4 linked regions of the Nothobranchius furzeri genome follow. The protein of the gene in region 3 interacts with the protein of the main gene of each other region in a biochemical or structural test. Links are inferred from orthologs where the notes say so. Each region holds a gene or a part of one and is shown on either strand. Other genes may lie near its edges.

Evidence for each region.
Region 1: the proteins of nfkb1 (region 3) and map3k8 form a complex in vitro, tested with the Homo sapiens proteins (2 studies listed by BioGRID and IntAct, with this or other methods). The link is inferred for Nothobranchius furzeri from reciprocal best matches to the Homo sapiens genes NFKB1 and MAP3K8.
Region 2: of the proteins of nfkb1 (region 3) and ikbkb, one has a biochemical effect on the other in vitro, tested with the Homo sapiens proteins (4 studies listed by BioGRID and IntAct). The link is inferred for Nothobranchius furzeri from reciprocal best matches to the Homo sapiens genes NFKB1 and IKBKB.
Region 4: the proteins of nfkb1 (region 3) and bcl3 form a complex in vitro, tested with the Homo sapiens proteins (2 studies listed by BioGRID). The link is inferred for Nothobranchius furzeri from reciprocal best matches to the Homo sapiens genes NFKB1 and BCL3.

Annotation. Positions count from the first base shown.
Region 1 is NC_091747.1:30,274,982-30,280,562, forward strand, and holds part of map3k8 (mitogen-activated protein kinase kinase kinase 8), read right to left. Parts: intron 4,114-5,581; coding exon 3,852-4,113; intron 3,236-3,851; coding exon 3,129-3,235; intron 1-3,128.
Region 2 is NC_091757.1:55,646,828-55,652,408, forward strand, and holds part of ikbkb (inhibitor of nuclear factor kappa-B kinase subunit beta), read right to left. Parts: intron 5,545-5,581; coding exon 5,350-5,544; intron 5,259-5,349; coding exon 5,144-5,258; intron 2,953-5,143; coding exon 2,829-2,952; intron 2,746-2,828; coding exon 2,594-2,745; intron 2,511-2,593; coding exon 2,449-2,510; intron 2,344-2,448; coding exon 2,243-2,343; intron 2,147-2,242; coding exon 2,097-2,146; intron 1,993-2,096; coding exon 1,893-1,992; intron 277-1,892; coding exon 129-276; intron 44-128; coding exon 1-43.
Region 3 is NC_091741.1:65,342,715-65,348,947, forward strand, and holds the start of nfkb1 (nuclear factor NF-kappa-B p105 subunit), read right to left. Parts: upstream 3,749-6,233; 5' UTR 3,483-3,748; intron 3,475-3,482; exon of another isoform or gene 3,332-3,474; intron 1,881-3,331; 5' UTR 1,876-1,880; coding exon 1,837-1,875; intron 1-1,836.
Region 4 is NC_091745.1:75,995,760-76,001,781, reverse strand, and holds the start of bcl3 (B-cell lymphoma 3 protein homolog), read right to left. Parts: upstream 4,069-6,022; 5' UTR 3,736-4,068; coding exon 3,249-3,735; intron 2,804-3,248; coding exon 2,680-2,803; intron 1-2,679. UniProt on the Homo sapiens protein: Contributes to the regulation of transcriptional activation of NF-kappa-B target genes. In the cytoplasm, inhibits the nuclear translocation of the NF-kappa-B p50 subunit.

The sequences.
Region 1 (5,581 bases), on a different chromosome or scaffold from region 3:
TTAATCTGGAAAGTGATACTTGGTGCTGATTATATATATATATATATATATTTTCCTTTTCTTTTGTTGTTTATTATTACTGTTGTTTTTTTTTGTTTTTTTATATATAGTTGTTTATTTTGAGGACTATGTTCTTTAATATAAATCCCATGTTAACTGTACTATTATTCTTGAGTGTTCTGTATTATAAACTTCAATAAACATAATGTTAAAAAAAAAAAAAAAGAGTCGCCTCAAGGCACTTCACAAAGTAAGCATTCCAATACAGGTCAGGTCATTAAGCCAATCAGTAAAAATGTTCCTGTATAAGGAACCCAGCAGGTTGCATCGAGTCACTGACTAGTGTCAGAGTCTTTACAGCAATCCTCATACTAAGCAAGCATTTAGCGCCAGTGGAGAGGAAAACTCCCTTTTAACAGGAAGAAACCTCCAGAGGATCCTGGTTCAGTATAAGCAGCCACCCGCCATGACTCACTGAGCTGTGGTGGCCTCATGGAGGGGGCGGCCATCGGCTGGCACACTTGACTGAAATCAGGTGTGTTCAAACACAGGGTTAAAACTAAAACCTGCTGGATACTGGCCCTCCAGGCCCGGATTTGAATACCCTGATATGAGGGAAAATAGCAGGGGACCTAAGATGGATCCCTGAGGGACTCCTCATCTTACAGGAGAGGCAGAGGACAAGAAATGACTTAAATTAACTGACATGCTTCGACCTGACAGATAAGATTTGAACCACTCCAGATCAGTACCTCTGATTCCAACCCACTGGTCAACTTGGAAATTGCGATATTATGATCGATGGTGTCAAATGCAGCAGATAGAACCAGGAGCATAAGGATGACAAAAAATTGGTAGCCATTAAAATGTCATTATAGACCTTTAATAGTGCTGTTCCTGTACTATGATGGGTTTTAAAACCAGATTAAAATACTTTGTGTACACCAAGCCTGTCCAAAATTGCAGGAGGAAGGTTTCTTCAGCAGAAAATTTACTGTAACATGTGTCAGCTGTGTTGGAACAACACCCGACTCCAGGCTGCTGTTTGCTATGAGGAAAACTCTTGTGGCAACAGATGTTGATACCCTCTTCAAAAAACCCAGCAGGAAGTACATCAGTGTGGTAGTGTGGCATTTTCAGTTTACTCACAATTTTGTCAAGTTGACCTATAGTAACTGGCTCAGAAAGGCAAGACTAGCGGGAGGCAGAAGTGTGAAGTGAAAGTAGTTCTACATTTTGTGGAAGTTGGTCAAATTCTGAGCATCAAACACAAGACAAACAGGAAGTGTTGTCAAAGGGGCTTTCTGCACCAAACGAGCTAATCTTTAGAGCCAATATGTGAGAGCAGGTCAGCCGGTGGCCCTTGAGGCTGAGCAGTAAACATTTCTTTGGAACTCACTTTAGCTTCTCTCAGCTGGAAATTCCACTTTGATCTTCCACATTATTTCTTCTCTCGGCAGCTCAGAGTTTTCTCAGGCTCCACCTCTTTTTCTATACAAACGTGTCTCCTCTGGGACTTTCCACCAGCAGCCCAACGTGCACACACACACACATGCACTTGCATGTGCGTACACTTGGAAAACAACAAGGACAACAGGTGGTAGAAGAGAAACATCAACACTCTGGTGGATTAATCTTCCTCTTTCTCACAGACTGAAGCGGAGAACGGTTGCTCTGCTGCAACAGCTCTGGTCTCAAATCATTTATACTGCTGACTAGATCAGTGGTGGCTCATCCATAGGGGGCGATAGGGTGCCACCCCACCAGTCTCAGAGGAAGAAGAAGAACATAGGAATAAAAAAATATAAATGCATATTAAAAAACAAACCATGAAAATAAACTAAAATAAAAAATGTTATTTACACTTAACACTATCGAATTGTGTTGTGACGTATTTCCTGTTACTTTTGGGCGCAGCAATCACTACCACAGTCACATGCTAACTGGTGCATGTGCGCTGGACCCCCCCTCCAATACAAAGAATAGGAGAGCCTTTGGGCGCAGGTTTACAGCGCCTGTGACGACACACGCAAAAGACCGGCAGCGCAGTACAAGCTCAGGTCAGGACAAAACCAGAAATTCTATACAGTTCACCATCCTGTGCTGTTGTTGAGCAGCTGAGTACACTTCGTGGAGTTTTTTTATTATGAAGAACCAGAAAATGATGGAATGTGGTATCAGAGACTTTTGAACACTCTCCTGCATGTGTAAAGGTGGAATATTTTTACGATAACATGGATTATTACAACCTTAAACCAGCAAATGTAAGACTGAGTTCATGCTTTTAACTCCATGAAATTAGCTTTGTTTGTTTTTTATGCTAAATTTGCTAATACTGGTGAATATTAAGCATGTTTTTGGAACAGTTTTGCTTTCACTGGTCTGTTGGTGTGACGCAAAAGAATGGTGACTTAGCATTACCTGGTGGTGATACGCAGATAGCGCATCAGAGTCCTCACAACTGCAAATTTCAGACTTAATTATGAGAATTATGAGCAATGAGGCTATTTTTATTACATTCATAACATGAACACTTTTCTAATCCGTGTTTCTCCCGAAAACCTTTTGTTTTTGACTAGAAAAATTATGAAATAATGATTAAATATTTACAATTTTGACATGTTTTATTTAAACACATTAGAGACTTATGTTTAGTGAGTTTTTTTTCTTTTTCTTTTCTGCCTGCTTGAATTTTGCTGTTGGTTTAAAAAAAACAAGAATGTGATTTGAAATAACGCATTTTTAAAAGATTATTTTTTTTCTAATAAACTATCACTTTTTTAATTTATCTGCCCATAAACCATCATTTTGTAAGGAAGAAAATGGATAAGAAAGATGTTAATAGTGCATATTTATTTAATAAACCTCATTATTCATATGCACCTTCCCACAACAGGCCATGCAAATGTGGGCTGGCATGCTGTTTTCAGCACAGCACTTGTTAAATTTTGCCCCATCCAAAAAGACTTTCACCAGCCGCCACTTAAGACTATTTTGAAAAAAAAAACAAAAAAACTCAAAGGAAGTGCAGAAACAAGACTACTGACTGCTGTTGAACACACGAACACATGCACGTGAACAAACCCTCAACACCATCAAGAAGTGAAACCGTGACTGGGGTTTCTCACCTCTGTTCCTCTGAGGTCTCTAGGAATGTAGATGTCCTCTGTCATCTGAACCGTCAGGCCGAAGTCCACCAGCACCGCCTTGTCTGACATCAGGACGATGTTACTGGCTGAGAGTAAAGAGAACACTCAGACGTAGAGACGAGCAGACGTTTGACAGTACTTAGGGCCTTTACTTGGCTCTGCAGACAGCTTTGTTCAGTTCGTTTGCACGTGTCGAGTTGAACTGGAGGTGATGTCAGGTACGTCACATGATGCATCAGGAAGTTAAACGATAAGCTGTGTGTGTGTGTGTGTGTGTGTGTGTGTGTGTGTGGTGTGTGTGTGTGTGTGTGTGTGTGTGTGTGTGTGTGTGTGTGTGTGTGTGTGTGTGTGTGTGTGTGTGTGTGTGTGTGTGTGTGTGTGTGTGTGTGTGTGTGTGTGTGTGTGTGTGTGTGCTATCAAAGCCAGTTGGAATTTCCAGACAACCAGGCCTCAGTGCTCAGAAGCAGACAGGCCCGTGAGAGGAATCTCATGTTGTTGTTTACAGAACGGTTTTTGTGTGTGACCGAAACAAACATGCCAACTTTTCCTCCCGTAACACACCCTGTATGATGGATTTATGTATTTCCCGCTAGCAAGAACTCAACTATGACTTGACTTTGAAGTCTAAGGACATTACATGCTGCTGGGCTGTTTGCACATCAACAGTTCAACAGGAGACATGTCTTCCCTCCCTTCTCTTACGTTTGATGTCGTGATGGATGACATTGTGGGAGTGCAGATACTCCAGGCCCCGCAGGACTTGCTTTGCCACCCAGATGATCTCAAACTCTCTCATGGGTCCGCAGCTGTCCACCTTCTCCAACACCGATCCCCCTTCACCTGCTTCCATGAACAGGTGGACGTTGTGGTCCCAGAACATGGCACCATAAAGCTCTGCAATGTTCTCGTGGCGGAAGCGGGCCTGGAACTCCACGTCGGCTGCTTTAAAGTTTTCTATTGGAATCTGTCAGGAGGAGATTTAGGAGATAATGAGCCCATAAAGCAAGGTGACCTACACGCTGCACTTTAAATTCTATAAATAAATGTAGTTTTTTAATCCAAATCTATTTGTGGACTATTGTTAACATACCAACTGTTTAGTAATCAGTTTTATTTTATTAACGTTAAAGTCCCATTAGTCGTCATCCACGGGTGGAACTTGTTCTATGCATTTAACCAATCCCCTGGGGGCGCTCAGGAACCACACGGTGGTTTAATTATTACCCAATTCCATGGACATAAAACAGTAATACAGGATAAAACGGGCCTTTGCTAACGTAGCTCATCCACCAGCAGGCAGCAGATATGCTTAGGACTGACATGGCAGGTTTCTGATAAACTATCCTGATGCTTTAAGGCCACGAGTGGTTTGATGTGTATTTGTGATGATTTGAAACCAAAGTCACATGATCACAAATACTTTGTTCTAAACAGCGTTTCCTGAGTAGGCGCCTCAGGCCAGCTCATCAGATCTGATGCGCTGTTGGAAGTCCTTTAGGTAGCTAACAAGCTTTTGATTTACCCTTTAGTCACACAGACCTGCAATGCCTTCACATTCAACTTTGCAAAAACGAACTTTAAAAGGATTTTGCAATATTGACAATTTCTAGCTAGGAAACTTCCCTGTTTGATCTTCCACGAAGTACGCACATGCACACACACACACACACACACACACACACACACACACACACACACGCACACATTGTTGAAAAAAATAAGTGATTTGTGAATACATGTACAGAAATCTAAAGAGCAGCTGCAGGAAGGTTTTATTTCTGTTCTTGCGTGAGAGGAACACGTCCTTTTAAGGGCACTCGGTCCTGTTCCTCTAGTGAATGTGACTCACAGCATCCGCACAATCCTGGAAGTAGCTGTGTCAATAAAAAGCTGCTTCTGGCGGCATAGAGAAATACACGATAGGGCTGCTCGATTATGGCAAAAATAATAATCACGATTATTGTGACTGAAATTGAGATCTCGATTATTTAGGACGATTTTTCAATTTATGTTGATTTTATTTGTTTTTATTCAGCCATAAAATTGCTCAGGGCACAATCAGGACAAAAATAAATAAGAAACAAGATGATCACTAAAATAACTCCTGATTCCCAGTATAAACAGACCAATATACTTATAGCTCATAGTCTATGACCCAAGGGCTATAGACCTTGGTTTAACTCATTTAAGTCTAACCAGTACAGACCCAAATACCAATATCCTGCAAATACTGACAGTAAGAATTATACAGTGGCATTTATAACAAATACATGCAAATAAATTGATGTTCACAAAATCTTGCATAACATTTACTGAGTCATCTCAAGGTGCTGTAGGAGAGTGCACTAGCACCGTGTCCTCAGAGAGATTAGTTATTAGTTATCAGCGTGAGGAACTTGTTTCTACCTTATTTATAAACTATTTATTTACAA
Region 2 (5,581 bases), on a different chromosome or scaffold from region 3:
GAAGTCCATCAGGACTGCCGCTCACTGGGCTCCGAACTTTGCTCTAGAAAAGACAAAATTATTCAACACACTTATCTGTTTCACAGGCGTTCTGTCTGAAGATGGAGCACTTTTTTGCTTTTCCTCACACAGGCGACTTTGAGCAGGTTCCACAACTCTTTCTGCCGCCTCTCCTGCAAACTCATCAGGACTTGTTCGTTCTCCACCATCTCCTGGACCACGCCCTCCACCTTCGGCAGCAGCTCCATCACACGGCGACGGCACACGGCTGTCTTACTGCAGAAGACACACACACACACACACACACACACACACACACACACACACACACACACACACACACACACACACATAATAATTATGATGTGACCAAGCTCTGAATAGGAAAATCTGCTGCAGATCAGCTGAAAAATATAACAGGATTGGATGGCCTTAAAATGGCAGCAAGAAAAGAAAAGAAAAGAGAAAATAAAGAAAAAAGAAGAGAAAAGAGAAGAAAAAAGAAAAGAAAAGAAAGAAAAGAAAAATGAAAAGACAGAAACGAAAAGAGAAAAGAAAGAAAGTAAAGAAAAGAAAAAAGAAAAGAAGGAAACTGTCACCTTATCGTGGTGGAGGGGTTTGAGTGCCCTAATGATCCTAGGAGCCATGTTGTCTGGGGCACTTAGTGCCCCTGGTAGGGTCTCCCAGGACAAATGGGTCTCAGGTGAAGGGTGAGACAAAGAACGGTTCAGAGGATCTTTCATGGAAGTAAATTCAAAGAGTCTGAGTACCCGTCCCGGAGGGTTACCGGGGTCCCACCCTGGAGCCAGGCCTGGGGTTGGGGCCCGTGAGCGAGCGCCTGGTGGCCGGGCTTTCGCCCATGGGGCCCGGCCGGGCCCAGCCCGAACCGGATACATGGGCTCATCCAACTGTGGACCCAACACCCGCAGGAGGAACATGAAGGGTCCGGTGCAATGTGGATCGGGTGGCAGACCAAGGCGGGAGCCTTGGCGGTCTGATCCCCGGACAAGAAACCTGGTTTTTGGGACATGGAACGTCACCTCGCTGGCGGGGAAGGAGCAGGAGCTTGTGGCAGAGGGTGAGCGGTACCGGCTAGATATAGTCGGACTCACCTCGACACATAGCATTGGCTCTGGAACCCGAGACCTGGAGAGGGGTTGGACACTCTACTTTGCTGGAGTTGCTCCGGGTGAGAGGCGGAGGGCTGGGGCTGGCTTTTTGTTAGCCCCAAGACTCTCTGCCTGTGTGTTGGGGTTTACCCCGGGGGATGAGAGGGTAGCTTCCCTGCGCCTTCGGGTCGGGGAACAGGTTCTGACTGTTGTTTGTGCTTATGGGCCAAATATCAGTTCAGAGTACCCACCCTTTTTGGAGTTCCCGGGACGAGACATCCATAAGGGTCTAAATAGTCCTTTATAGTCTTAGTATCATCTTCTCTATCTCCTTCCTCGATTATGTCTTCTCTTTATTGCAATTTCTTTCTCTTACAAGTGGAATTAATTAATGAGCAGCTGCAACATGTGAGTTCAGCGCGAGTGCAACACAAAAAACGGTCAGGCGGAACCAAAAACCAGAACAATTGTTCCCTCTGTAGTTCACCGCTAGATGGGGTCAAACAGTCAAATAAAAAAACAACTAATAAAAATTAAATGTGAAAGGCTGTTACACTCTTTAAGGAACGCTTCACATTCAAAACTTATTTTAAAAAGTTCAAAACCTTTCAAATGACTGCAACACAAAAAATTATCAACTTTTTACCTCCTTTAGCATTTTCGCCTCTGTAAGCTGGAAAAAATCAAAAGTGTAACTAATCAGGAACGCTTCTCTGCTGCTCTAAGCTGAAAAGGATCAGAGAACTGATTTGCATAAAACCTGGCATGCTCGTGAGGGAGTACCTGAGGTGTGTGTAGAAATCTTTCAGCTTCCTCTCGTAGAACTGCACGGCCTGTAATACCAGACGCACCAACTCCTGGCTGTCTCCAGGACATCTCTGTTCTGAGGAAGGAAAACCAAAATGATGTCAGATGAGGTTTGTTCTCACATGCAAGGCACCACGATGAGCCCCCCCCCCCCCCCCCCCCCCCAAAAAAAGTCCAAACCTCTGGGTTTCTCTCTGAGATTGCGGAACAGCTCCATGGCTTTGCCTTCACTGTGGATCAAAAGGAGGAAATGTGACCTCAAACGGCAGTTACTTCTTTAACTTCTATTTCTATACATCTATATCTATATTATGATGTAGACTTACAGTGTCTCCAAGGTCTCTCCACTCCTCCATGGCTGCCTCTGCACATCAACGATGTCTGGCTGCAGCTTCATCATCTCCTCCTCCAGTTCCACCACTTTGGCCTTCACACACGCACGCACGCACACACGCACACGCACACACATCCAAGTCTTTTAAAGGGAACTCTTTACAAACACACACACACACTCAATACACTCAAAACCTACCTTACTACAACTGATGGCAGTTTGCTCCATTTCCCTCCAAACACCCAGAAGTTTCTCTGATGCTTCAAACATAAAAAACATTAGTCAGAGGCACAGAATTCGTACTAAATTTGTCTTTTAAGTCACAAATATTTCGGTTGTGCACCTATCCCCGTGGATGTCTGCTCCTGATATTTGTCCATGTCGACGTGAAGGCTGGTGCTGAAGAACTCCTGCTTGGCCGTGAGTCTCTGGTACATGGACACCATCTCATTCTTCTGCTTGGACAGTGACGAGTTGTGTCTCAGCAGGCTCATGCTGAAAGAAGCAGGAGGTGTTTCTGTTTTCTTATTTTTGTCAAACAAGTGCACGTGTGTACTAATGTAGTGTCTAGGTCATACAGGGCAGCTTTCTGGCCCTGCTGCAGCCTTTGCCAGTCTTCCTTTAGAGAGCGGATGGTGTGCCATGCCTGACCGCATGTCCTCCTCAGATTGCTGTATGGGAGGAGATGCTTCGGGTCGGTTTCTATGAGAAAAAGAGAGAAAAACACGGTATTGGTGTATGTTTATAACTAAAAATAACACAGAATCGGAGCTGCTTGGTTATTAAGAAATCATTATCAAAACTATTTTGTTCAATATCAACACAACCTTTGAGTAGGGAAAGGAATGATTTATTCTTCTAACCCTAACCCAGACAACACCCTCCTGAGGCTCACTGGTAAGGTCTATTCAGATGTTGTGGAGCGGAGGGTCCGTCGGATTGTTGAACCTCAGATCCAGGAGGAAAAATGTGGTTTTCGTCCTGGCCGTGGACCACTGGACCAGCTCTATACCCTTAGGGGGATCCTGGAGGGTGCGTGGGAATTTGCCCAACCAGTCTACATGTGTTTCGTGGATTTGGAGAAGGCGTTTGACCGCGTCCCTCGGGGGGCCCTGTGGGGGGTACTCCGGGAGTATGGGGTACCAGGCCCTCTGATACGGGCTGTTAGGTCCCTGTATGACCGGTGTCAGAGCTTGGTCTGCATTGCCGGCAGTAAGTTGGGCTCGTTCCCAGTGAGAGTTGGACTCCGCCAAGGCTGCCCTTTGTCACCGATTCTGTTCATAACCTTTATGGACAGGATTTCTAGGTGCAGCCAAGGTGTGGAGATCCGTTTTGGTGGCCTGAGGATCAGGTCTCTGCTTTTTGCAGATGATGTGGTCCTGTTGGCTTCATCAGAACGTGATCTTCAGCTTTCGCTGGAGCGGTTCGCAGCAGAGTGTGAAGCAGCTGGGATGAGAATCAGCTCCTCTAAATCTGAGACCATGGTCTTGATTCGGAAAAGGGTCGAATTCCTTCTCCGGGTCAGGGATGAGGTCCTGCCCGGGGTCTTGTTCACGAGTGAGGGAAAACTGGAGCGTGATATCGATAGGCGGATTGGTGGCCTAACCCTAACCAGTCTACATGTGTTTTGTGGATTTGGAGAAGGCGTTTGACCGCGTCCCTCGGGGGGCCCTGTGGGGGACACTCCGGGAGTATGGGGTACCAGGCCCTCTGATACGGGCTGTTAGGTCCCTGTATGACCGGTGTCACAGCTTGGTCAGCATTGCCGGCAGTAAGCCGGGCTCGTTTCCAGTGAGAGTTGGACTCCGCCAAGGCTGCCCTTTGTCACTGATTCTGTTCATGACCTTTATGGACAGGATTTCCAGGCGCAGTCGAGGTGTTGTTTGCAGATGATGTGGTCCTGTTGGCTTCATCAGAATGTGATCTTGAGTTGGAAAAGGGTCAAATGCCTTCTCCAGGCGAGGGACGAGGTCCTGCCTCAAGTGGAGGAGTATCTTGGGGTCTTGTTAACGAGTGAGGGAAAAATGGAGCGCAAGATCAGTAAGCGGATTGGTGCAGTGATGCGGGAGTAGTAGTGGTCAATCTCTGTTCCTACCCACACCTACGGTCACTAGCTTTGGGTTCTGACAGAACGAGATCGCAGATGCAAGCAGCCAAAACGAGTTTTCTCTGCAGGGTGGCTGGGCTCTTAGAGATAGGGTGGGAAGCTCGGTCATTCAGGAGGCGATCGGAGTAAATCCACTGCTCCTTCACTCCGAGAGGAGCCAGTTGAGGTGGCTCAGGCATCTAGTTAGGATGCCTCCTGGACGCCTCCTTGGGGAGGTTTTTCGGGCTCGTCCAACCGGAAGGAGACCTAAAGGAAGACCCAGGACACACTGGAAGGACCATGTCTCTCGGCTGGCCAGGGAACACCTCAAGATTTACCCGGAGGAGCTGACCCATTGGTTGTTGGATAATGCCAACATGGGTCACAATAACTAATCAAGTGCTCTGGGTGTGTCTCACGTTGACACGCTTCACCTCAACATGAAGCCTTTTTGTCTGAATCTTCATCCATTTTCAGCCGCTTACCTGGGGTCGGGTCGCGGGGGTGGCAGCCTAAACTGTCCATGTTTGTTAATAAAACCGAGAAAAGCTGCTGCGGAAGCGTCTTTAAAGAAAGGATGGTCATTGCTACTCTTTCAGAGAAAGATCTAGCACGAACGCCTTTTAACAGTGTTAAAATAAGTCTCCTAGCTGTCAGTTCATTTGTTATATTTAATTATGACACCTGTCAGTTTGGAGTTCTCAGCCTCTACACTCATTTTTTTCATTTATGCTAGCTGACACGAAAATAAATGAAATAAAATTTACTGAGCACGGCTTTTCCTGACATCACAGGCTTCGTACTTACGGACAAAGCGGATATTTTCAGGAAGAGTCCGGGGAGCAAACTGGGGTTCGTATGAGCAGGAGGAGCAGTCGAACAGGAAGACCAGAGGTAAATCTGTACGACGTCCATCTATCTCCTGCAGACCGATGATACAAACGCTACAGCTCTCATTCGGAAGTGGAACGTGTGATCATGACAAACATGCTTTGCACGTCCGATATCCTTACTGTGTAATCGATGGCGCACTGCGTGGCCAGAGCCTGAGGCTCCAGCGCCAGCCCCGCCTCCAGCAGCAGCTCCTGATTGGCTGCAGGGATGTTCGTGTCCTTTTCTATCCTCAGCTGCAGGCTGGCCACAGTTTCATCCTCTGCGACCTTGTACGTCAGGATTTTAGCCGACATCATGTTCAGGACATGAACCAGCTGAAAGGAAAGAGACAAGTCAGAAAACATAAAATAA
Region 3 (6,233 bases):
TTTGGTTATTCCACATTCAGTGTTAATGCAAAAATATGTTTGTTTCCAATTTTAAAGGTTTTAAATTGCATATATGTCAATAAAGAAAATGAAAATTTGCCATCACTTTTTCAAAAAATATTAAGCTTGGCCCGCGACTTCGTCCCAGATTTTCATTTCGGCCCAGTGTGAATTTGAGTTTAAAACCCCTGTTCTATAAGTTCCAAAAACCAGATATAAAAGTCGAGGTGATCCGGTCCTTCCAGACTGTTGCACCCCGACTTTGGAATGATCTTCCTTTATCCTTATCCCTCCCACTGTCCTAATGGGCATTGACAGTCTGGACACCTTTAAAAATCAGTTGAAGACACTTATTTAAAGCAGCTTATACCTAAACCTTTTATTTTCTTATTTTTAACTCAAATTTTTAATCTTTAATCATTTTATGAAACTTTATAATTTTATGACTATTTTTTCTGATGTTGATCTATTTGTTTTGAGATCATTATGATTTTAAGACGGTTTTATTTTGTTTTGATCTATATGAAGCACTTTGTGATTCTATGTCTGTGATAAGTGCTATATAAATAAAATTTACTTACAGACTCACACACACACATTTGTAATTTTAAATCTGCTGGATCTGCTAACGGTCAAGTTAATCTACAGTAAATAGTTTATATGAATCTGTTCTTCTGACATATATACATTAGCAACTGAAAAGATTGAATTCTAAATTTCATCTTCTGTTTTTGTTTAACCTCAATTTAACCAGAAAGAAAAACATTGAGATTAAAAATCTATTTCAAGGGAGACCTGGCCAAGAAAGGCAGCAGCAAGCAACAAGTAAAGTTACAAAAGAAATCACAAAGTTTCAACCGATGGAAGACGTTTAGCAGAAGCATTCATATATAAAATATCTCCATAACCCAGCACAATTAACGATGCTGCAGCAACAAGCTACTTCTTAGCATTAAAATAAAAAAACTGTTTTATTCACAGCTTTGTTTGTTCTGAGTCTCGCACAAACATCTGAAGGTTGGACTATGAAGCCAGATTTCCTTGCAGACTATGTTGAGATGAAAGTTGAAGTTTTCAGGATGAAGGTGGAGGATTTGTATCACAGAGAGTGTAGAGTGTAACAGAGAGTGAACCCAGTGGTTCCTAACCTGGGGGTCCCGACCCCCACAAGGGGGCGCCAAAGCCTCTCAGTGGGTCACCAGGACCTCTCCACTTTAAGGGGTTAAAACTTAATTTATTACTTGTTTATAGCCTACATTTTGCTCACATTTTTTTCATGAGTGAAAAGTTTACTGATATTAAGACAGGAAATAATTAGTACAGAAAAAGTAACACACTTTTAAGAACATTTTGCTCAGCTCACTGTTTTATTTTCAAGTGTCAAAAGTTCATTAAAGATACGACTGGTTGATTAATCACAGCCTTTACAGTAAATAATCTAGTACAAACAGTAATATACACATTTAAGTACATTTTGCTCAGTGTATTTTTTATGTGTCAAACGTTTATTGAAATGAATGATTGATTTATCAGTGTTTACAAGAAACAATGTGTTCAGAAAAGTAATACAAACTGTCAAGCACATTATGCTCTGTTTGGTTTTGTTAATGACTTTGTTCTGTACTGGAGCCTACTATTACTGTTATCTATTGAATCAAAGCATATTCAAATGTGCTTGAACAATTTGATCATTTCTTAATACTGTTTGTACTGGAAGAGAGAATGGGAGGGGGTCGTCAAAAATTTTACTGGTAAAAAAGGGCTCCCTTGGGAAAAAGGTTGGGAACCACTGCCCTAGATCATCATGGTAATGGAATGAGCTGCAGGTGAGTTTACCTGGTTGGATGGATGAAGGAAGGGGTCGTCTCCTGCCATTGTGTCTGCAAAAGTAAAAAACAATATCAAGTCAACAGTTTTATAATATACATGGACCACAAACCAGCCTTCTTTACTAAAACATAACAAAGATGGCACTTCTGCAAATAGTTCATTAACAACATCTTTTTATAAGTTGTTTTTTTTTTTACTTTAAAAGCCCAACAAAAACCTGAGTTTGCAAATCCATCAACTGTCACATTGCTTTAATGTATTGTCTTTGTTCAAATAAATATAAACTAAAGTGCAGCGCATGTTCAAGTTGAACCATGTAAAAGCTGCCAAACTTCCTGCTACTTCGTTAAACATCACAGCAAGCTAAAGAGCTGCAAAACTCATGTTCATTATTTTATCATTAATGGTGATCAACTATTAGGCAAATGTTATCTAAATGTAATGAACTACTGAGCAAAACCTGGAACAGGAAGCAGAATCAGCTACTATAAATCATTTAAACGCCAACGATCCTAAAGGTCTTTTTTTTCCACCAGTTGCTTAAATGATGAGCAGAAACATTTCATTACTGATTACAGTTACAGGCGAATGCATTTAAAATATGTGTAAAGTCATTTATTTAGAAACTGTGATGTAAAGCATTATTTTATCGCACGATTTATTTTTTTTTTATTTTTTTAATGTCTCAAAGGTAAACTGAAAATTGTTGTCTTAACAATTTCCGATTTGATAAAACGGTGTTTGTAATAGTTCGCACATTGAAAACATATGCGTTAATCTGTGTCTAAAAGAAAACACGTATTTTCCAGCACTGTTTTGGCAGTTTATTCTTTCTTTCTGATGCTCGTTAATGCCGCGCGCGCTCCGCGGCTCTTGTGAACGCGCGTGTCAGTTAGCTTCCTAGCTAACAGCTTATCACCGCCACCGGACTCCTGTTGTTTAAGCTTATAGAGTCCGGTAAAAACCAAGCCGTTACAACCAGCCAGCGGCTCCGCTGCGGTGACAGTAGTGGAGCTCTTGGCTGACAGAGTTGCTGCGTGTCCTTCGGTCCTGTCGGTGCAGCTAAGCTATCAGTCCCCGCTGCCCCACCGGAACGAGCCCTGTAGGTTTGGTTCCTTATGCGGAGAATGTTATGCCAAGGTCCATTTGAAAATCTAACGTGTCAGAAACACTTCAAATTCATGTTAGGAATACATTTTACATTGTTATTTTTATAACCAAACCAATTGGCTAATCATGCCCTAAAAATCGGCAAGTTTAACAATTTCATAATTTCTCATTTTCAACCTCTATTAAGCATTTTGTTGTACGTTACCACAAATAAGAGCGGGCAAAGTTCAGTTCAAAATACAAACAGATTGAAGCAAACATACAATTTGTGCAATGAACAGGCCGAATTTGTCGTGGGGTGACAAAGAATGTGTTCTGAAAAACACTTAATCTATTTTAGGGGATCGTGAGTTATAAAAGTAATCCCTTCACGACACCTCGTCAAAGTTACCTGGCTGATGAGGAAGTAAGTAGCATAACAAAGCAGTCCGTCAGAGCCGTAGAACACCGTAACGGTCTAGGGAGAAGTTCGGACCTCGAGTCCGACTAAACGGGCCAGAGTCCGGGTTTACGCGGTTCGTGTGTCGGTAGCAGGCTTTTACCTGGTTTACTCGATCAGGTGGAAGTCGGTAGCATGAAGTGTGACCATGAGTGTGACTCGTCCCGCTTCACTCCAGTTGACTCGTTATTTGTTCGCCATGCCGAACCCGCGGACCCACTTACAGCCTCGCTTCAGCCAGACAACATTTTAAGGGTCTGGAGCCACGGCCAGTTTTTAATCCACGCAGATTAGGCCCAAATGAAATCCAACAGGTGACAAGTTTGTCAGAATAAAGTGACTTGATTTCCTTCCCTACTGGAAATTCCCTGTGACGTAGAGCTCCAGCAGAGAGGTGAGAAAAGAAGATGGCTCACCCTGACGACAAAAACGGGTCGTCACACAAAGTCCACTTTATGACGTTTTAGCTTCGCTATTTGTGTCACCATTTCATAAAAGCCAAACCAAACATCTAGAAGCAACGAGTAATGTGTCACCCATGGTGCTAAAGTTGTTTTGATCTACTATTTTCTTATATTGATTCATTTTATTGATGTTTGCAGACATTCAGCTCTCTGCCTGTGGTTTTTTTAGTCCGGACTTTAACCGGACCCTGGCTCTTTTCTTTCTGCTTTTATAATAGTATCGCGTGGACATCGGGTCAGTTTCACTGCATTGGCAGTAAAAGGGGGAACGCAGGGTGTGTTCCAACCATGGATGTAGTTTTGACTTTAGAAGTGTGTGTGTGTGTGTGTGTGGGGGGGGGGGGGGGGCGGGGTCAACCAGGTATCCTTACAGTTAAGTATACAAAAATATGTAAAGAACTACAGCCTAGAGGCTCTTTTATGCAATGTCAGAAATGCTGAACTGTTGAGTACACAGGTGGCAGGAACGGCCAATCACATGTTAGCAAGTATCAGCATAGCCAATAGATGAGCGTATGGACATTCTAATGGGAAACAGGCTTCAACACAAGCGGTTGTTTTCCACTTCATGCTAGTGCTCAACCAGAGTCCATTTATAGCGTAATATTGTATTTGGACAGTTAAAAGTGCAGGGGACCATGTCCCCCACCAAAACTACATCCATGGTTCCAACTACAGGGGTATCAGACTTCTGAGCCTCCCTGGTAAGGTCTATTCAGGGGTTCTGGTGAGGAGGATCCATCGTATTGTCAACAGTGTTGGGAACGTTACATTAAAAAAGTAATTAGTTATAGTTACTGATTAGTTTGTCAAAAACGTAACTCAGTTACTAACTGAGTTACAAGATTGTGAAAGTAACTAATTACCAAGAAAAATAACTACTTAGTTACTTTTTTCATTAAAGCATGCAAGAATTACTACACTAGTGAAATATAAATGACTAATGACTGGAACATAATAAAATGTATGTCCAAATGTTTTTTATAAACCTGAATAATTTAAATAAATAAGCACTTAACAGGAGGAAATACTAACAGGAACATTACACTTATCTAGACTATTAAAAGGTCACTGTGTGATATTTAACAAGACCCCAATCAGCTAAAATTTAAAATTGCAAATAGAAACACCTGTAAAGGTTCCTGAGCCTTTAAATGGTTTCTCAGTCTAGTTAAATTACAGAAATGAATGCAATTTTGCACAGCATTTTAATTTTTCCAGCTTCACATCTATTAATGGTTAAATAAATAAATAAAATCCTTTAAAATGACACTAGAACAGGCACAAGCCTGATGGAGGACTTACATTTACTAACTTGGGTCAGACCCAACCACAGAAGAGCTGAAGCTGGGTGGTAAACACACACAGGTAGTTCTAATAACACTTGAGCTCCATGACGTGTGAGACTGATGCATCAGTGTTACAGCGGGACTAAAGACATGATCAGAAACAGGTTACAGCTGGATGATCTAGGAAGGTAGAAGATTAGGAGGCATGGACGTAATTTTGGGGGGGGACAAGGGGGACATGCCCCCCCCCCCCTTTTTCCAAAGTTAAGTTTTGACCCCTGCACTTTTTACCATCCAAAAACAATATTACGCTATGTTAAATTGACACTGGTTGAGCTCTAGGACCAAGCAGAAAACAACCGTTTGTGTTGAAGCCTGTTTCCCATTAGAGCATACTGTAAAGATACACCCCGTCCCCCCCACTTATAAATTGAAAATTACGTCCATGTCAGGAGGTCTGATCGGTGAACAGGTGAGCGGACCTTCGGGACGTCCCTCTGTCACGCTAGGGCACGGCTGCACACCCGCAGATTCGTTGCAGATTCACTGCTGCAGCAACAAATCTGTCAGGGGTCTGCAGCCGTAGATATTCATCACGACTTCCTCGTTCTTCACGGGCCGTGATGCGCTTGGATGAAAAAAACATCTACCTCTTTAGCTCCTGATCAGCTGATGACCGCTTCAACACACCGCACTGCTTAACGCATACATTTCCTTCAGTAACAGAAACGATTGTTTTCTTAAAAGAAGACGGTAATTAATTAGTTTGCTCGTTACAGAAAGAAACATTTTTATTTATTAACGTGGTTATTTTAAACAGCGTTATTCCCATCACTGCTATGTTTGCGACTGAGACAGTGAGAACACTGAGGGTCTCCGCCCACCCGGCCAATCATCATCGTGTTTGTAAGTGCGTTACCAACACCTCTCGCCCTGGCTGCAGCTGAAGTGTGGCGGTCAGAAAGTCTCACACTGTTGCTCAACGTTCGACAAGCACATAGTAACGCACAACCTTCCGTCCCCAGTAACGGTAACGGCGTTGCAGCAGTGGGAAAAGTAATTAACTAGATTATTCCGTTACCTAAAAAAGAACACCGTTAG
Region 4 (6,022 bases), on a different chromosome or scaffold from region 3:
TAAACTCACGTTTGCAACAACAAAATATTTTTATCGGACTATTGTTTGCTAGGTTTCTTTACTGGAGATGTCAGCAACTGCATGGCATCAAGAGGCTTATATATATATATATATATATATATATATATATATATATATATATATATATATATATATATAAACTGGAGATGTCAGCAACTGCATGGCATCAAGAGGCTTATATATATATATATATATATATATATATATATATATATATATATATATATAAACTGGAGATGTCAGCAACTGCATGGCATCAAGAGGCTTTTTAAATGTTGCTCATTATGAGTTTCTTTTGTGTGGATGTAAATGAAGCCGACTCCTTTTGAAACTGCCTCATCAAGGTCTTGTTTAGTTCTTGGACTTGCTCTGTCTTCAGTCACCTGACTGCGTGGGTATTCACGTGTGCCCTTGTGTCAGTTTGTCATCACAGCAACTGTGTGGGAAGATGCAAAATGCTGATTTCAAGGTCGAGTTAGCCATGTGTTAAAGTTTAGTATTTGCATTCACGTGGTCTCAAGACGGTCTGCATGGTGACCTCTGTGTGTAGTTAGCATGTACCCCCCCATGCACGTGACTTTCTCCAGAGTCTCCCACAGACCAAAGCATCGACACAAGACTCAAAATTCTCCCTACGTGTGAAAATGTTTGCATGTCTCTGTGTGTCCTGTAGGTTCCCTCACAGGAAGTGAGACTGCAGTGGAGATTTTTAAAGGAGTGGGAGAGGGATACTGGTCAGAGCCAGGTGAGTCACCGAGATAAAAATAAATAAACTGGAAAGAAATGCCAAACATTTTACTCTCCGATTGCACAACATCAAATATTTTGTTGATGATGTTGGAAGGCTCTGTGTTGAGACTACAGAGCTCCGGGAGTTGACGTCACTTCTGCCGGCATGCAACAGTTCAAATCGAAACGGCGCCATCTTGGCAGGCAGAAGCCCGCAGCTGGGCTATTTGTTATTGTCAGAAAACTCAATCAAACGGGAAATATGGTAGATTCCTGTTGTGCCCCAGGATGCCGGAGCAGACGCGGACGAGATAAGGGAAGAGCCTTCTACAGGACTCCCCAAGATCCAGAACGCTGCAAACGTTGGATCATAGCAACGAAACGCGCTAGCCTCCAGGCTAAGATGAAGCTGTGGGATCCCGAGAGTAAAGGTTTTCACTTAAGCAGCGACCACTTCACATCAGGTAGTTAAACCAACGTTTCCTCAACTGTGTTTGGTATTTATTTTAAATGCTTTTATTACGATTCTTAGTGGGCTTCCTAAACTTATTTTGGCGTGGCTTTTTCTGTCTTATTACTCATAGCAGCAAGTAAACATCACGTAAAACGTTGCCTTGTGATTTCTGCGTGCTGCCGTTTACGTGTTTTATGATCACAGCAATTAACCGGCTAAGCTGTATTTAATTTTTAAGCAACGGTTGATCAATTGTCAGATCACACATAAAAAGCACTTTGGATTGCTATTATCTGTCTCACCGAGACGGATTTCAGACAGATCCTGAGACGCTCCTGCCTGACATTTTTATTTTATTCACAGAAAAAGACGTGATTTCTCTTGGCGTTCAGTTTATACATTCAAACAGCACAGCACTCTATTTAAACTTGTCACATGTAAATCTTTGTTTTTTTGTGTTTTTAGCGATGCTCCGGAGTAGGACGAGGAAAAAAGTATAAAAAGTGAAATACTACCATATTATTTTATGATTTTATGAATATTATTAGTATTATTGGTGCATTAATATTACCTAAGACAAAATATTACCTAAGGCAAATATAGCCACAAATCAATAAAAACATTCAAACAACAACTTGGTTTTCATAATTTTCTTTCTTGGGATGACATGATGCAGCTGTTTGGTGTGACTTTTGTCCTCAAGCTCTTTCATGGAAAACTATGATGGGATGAGCAATCTGCTAAAGAATTTGGGTACTTTCAGCAAAATGATTACGCCCAGGACCAGCAAAGGTGTAAAAAGATGCTAAACCATGCGTGGGTTCTTGCTTATGCAACTTGTGCCGCAGTTTGCTGGAGCAGCATGGCTTACATGTGCTAAAATGGTCTGCCTGCAGTCCAGACCTGGTACTAAATAAAGGAAGTTGGCTATAAGCCTGAGAAAAATAACAAAAGGAACAAAGTCTTGGACTGAAAAACACCTCAAATGGAAAATATCAAGGTTTCAACACTACAGCAACGGATCAGTTTAGTTCCTAAAATGTTACAGATTTTTATTAAAGGATTTTTTGTGCGATTTCCACACAGTTTCGTCAATTGAGATGATTTTCCACATATTTGTGATGAATTATAGTTTAAACAACTTATAAATACATTTTTGTAATAATAGAAGTTTCCACTACAGTGGGTATGAGTATTTGCATTTGGGTCAGGTGTTGAGCTCAACCATATTTGTGACTTTTGGCCAAGATCTACGATTCTTCTCAGTCTGCTAGAAATAGTAGGACTGTGCATTAAAGTGATGAAAGCTCTGATCTGTTTCCTTCTTCAGTTTCTTAAATTCTTGACTGATGAAGGTGAATCGTGGCATTGTGTAGTTTTCTGCAAGCATCAGTGACTTAAATCTGGATGGATATTAGCAGTAACACCTCTCGTGTAAACGTGACAGCAGATCTTTTCTGAATGAATCAACATACGTGTCTCCATCTTCATCCTGATGCGTAGCCAGAGAAATCTCAGCCAGCAGGTTTTCAGGTTGAAGGGCTGGTGGATGATGTGGCTCTGGGACCACGTGGGGCATGTAGTACACCGGATAGTGACCTGAGCAGGAAAAACAAGTCAGAATAAGAAAGCCAGGAGGCAGAGAAAAGAGTAAACAAGTACTTTTAAAGCAAAGTGCTGCAGTGTGTAACATTGACCCAGAAATATGCTACTGGGTGAGCATGAAAGGCTGCAGATAAGCTGACTGGATGTTCTCTGAGTTTAAGCTGCTGTGTGGTGCCACTGATTCTCCAACCACATGAGATGTGACCCACAAGCCAGTAAAATCACAGAGATGGATGCTGATAATGCTGAAGATCGAAAACAGAAACCTGATAACCAAGATCATTTCCAGGGATTTTAGTTTAATCTGATCTTTTAAGGGGGAATATTCTCAGTTCTTTTACTTTAAAATAATACAATTGTAACGAAAAATGTTTAAAGTAAGAGCAATTTTGTACTAAATCACCTTTTTTCATGATTATGAACAAAAATAAGTTCTTACCATAATCATAAATAGGGAAAAGGCAGTAGGGGTATCCATCTGGACCCTGTCCATCCTCCTCCACCCTCCTGATGATGGTCATCGGTGCGACTCCAACCCTGCGCTCATGATCCCCCCCGGCTCTCCCCAGACGAACAAGGGAACCCAAGTCTCGCTCCTCCACCGGAGAGGAGCGGATTCCGCTCGCTGCTGGAGTCGGTGACGGCGTCTGGCTCTCAGGTTCGAAGGGAAAGGGTCGTTTCCTGAAGGGAAGCTTTAAGGAAGACGCGCTGCCCGCTGGCCGTTTGCGAGGCGCACGGGTTTCTGTGCTGTCGGTCCCGGTGCTCGCTGGAAGTGCAGGGGAGCCGCCGCTCGGAGCGTCCCGGGAGCAAATGTTACTGTCCGGAGTCCCAGACCTCCCACGCCCTCGCGCAGTGGTGCTCAAATCCAGCGGCGCAGTGGCGACCGACTGGTGGTCATCAACATTCATGGTACTGATCCTCGGCATCAACTGGAGACGTTTCAGGTGACAACCAGCCCACGTTCAGATGGAATAATCAGGCTAATCCAAGAGGACAGATTGTGCGTAAATCCTAAAATACAATAAAAGTGTTGTCAAGTCAAACCATTCTGTTTGTGCCTCTGGTGTTATTTAGGTAATACGCTATCAAAATAACAGGTTCATGCAAATCTGTAACACTGATAATAATGATAAAAAAAACTATCCAGAAAAAAACTTGTGCGTATCCCTGCGCACCTACATGACCGTGGCGCAGTGGAGCTGCGCCAGTGCTCATCTGCTGATCATGAGCGCCTGTTTGACACCTCACCAGCGGCTCTACTTTCGTTTTAAACCGAAACAGTCTGATCGAAGCGTTTAATTAGACCAAGTAAAGCAGGAAAGGAGTTCAAGAGTGCTCTGAATTCGTGTTTATTTTATTTGGATTATTATTATTATTTTTTATTTTATTTTATTTTTTTGCATTTCTGACTTTTCTGATAGATCCTGCTCTGTTTGCATTAAAGTTCAAAGCACCTAACGTTGAATTTCTCAAGAAGTCAAGGCAGGTAGATCGGCAGTTCAGAGCAGAATGGTGAGAAAAACAAGAAAACAGCTGGAGCTCCACATCTAAAATGTAGTTTCCTCAGTTGAAAGTGAGTTAAAGCTGTAAAAAAAATTCAAACAGACTGCAGACACATATAAACAAAACAATCCCATGGATGTATAATTCTGTATTTATACCAGTCTGGAGCTGCCATTTCAGGTACTGAAAACTAACTTCCTTTTAGAAATTTTGCATGAATCCTTGCGCTGCTATTGAAATCTGCCAATTTGTATGTTTTCCTTCATGTTTCTGATCTGGAATGTTGATCCCTCTACTTCCACTTCTAATCTAAAGAGAACTCTCTTTTGTGAAGACAACCATTTCCTATCTTTGTTTATTCATCTGCAAACAACATGGACTGTTTTTGTTAACATTGGACTTCCATATTCACAGTGCAGGGTTTTGCGGTATCAAACTCAGCTGAGAGAGAATAACAGCCCCTATGACTCATCAGTCTGTACTTTTGATGCCCTTCTTGTGACTGTGCCTGCCAGTGTTTCTACATGATGGCGAGGCCACAGTCCTGCAAATGCACTTCCCCCTCATCTATAATCTTATCTCGCTCCACCCTCATCAAGGTTCTGATTACCTGGGTCAATTTGGGACTTTCCTCTTTGCACTGAAGTGTGGAATGGGCAACGGAAACTCAAGCTTGGTGTTTAAAGTCCCTAAAACACCCTGGCGCTGCACAAACAAGCCCTGCAGCTGTCAAGGCACTCAACCATCATGGTCCTGTCGGGAAAATAATGATCAAAATTACACATTCACTATAATGTTTGTTATAGTTTAGCACCATTTTTGTATATTGGCAATGAGTCAGTGACCTTTATACACACACACGCACGCACACACACACACACACACACACACACACACACACACACACACACACACACACACACACACACACACACACACACACACACACACACACACACACTGTGTCAACGGAAAACTTTACACCTTTTTACGATCTTGGGGGTCAGCATTATAAGATACCAATATGTGAAATAATGTGAAATTAAATAAAATTCGCCTCTCTTGTGCAGGAACAGCTGAGTTCAGCGCAACTGTCAAATAGAAGTTTGATTAAATATGAGTTTTAAAATGTACTTTACATTAATAATCCCGCCGTGCAGCTCTGAGAGGATTACGTTCAACAGTTGGTGTCTTCCCTGCATGCGGGACTCTTTGCTCAATAGAAGAAAATAATTTTCAAGTGGAGGTGCAAGCCTGAAGTCATCTGCAGAAGACAGTTCATATAAAGATCAATGACACGATGAGAACAGATGTTTTGTGTGAGCTTGTGTTGCCCTCTTGTGGATGCATCAAAACAAGTTTGTTGATCTAATTGTTACATAAAATTTGCTTTATCATTTATTCATGTTGTAGATAAAACGCGTACATTGTTAGGAATGTTAAACCTTTTGTCTTAATTTTATTAAATCCTCATTTGAAACAAAAATCTAATAAAAGGTTTTATAAAACACATTTTCCTTCATGTAATTGTCTTTTTATTTAGCATTATTTATCACTAAAATATTTTCTTGCTTCCCTGCTTAAAAATTAAGTAATGTTTGCTTGCAAATCTGTAAAGTTGCAGATGTTTGATGAATAAATAGTTTAAGACCAACCAACATGGTCAATTATCTGGCGATGCAGCATGCTTGGAGTTAAATTTGACATTTG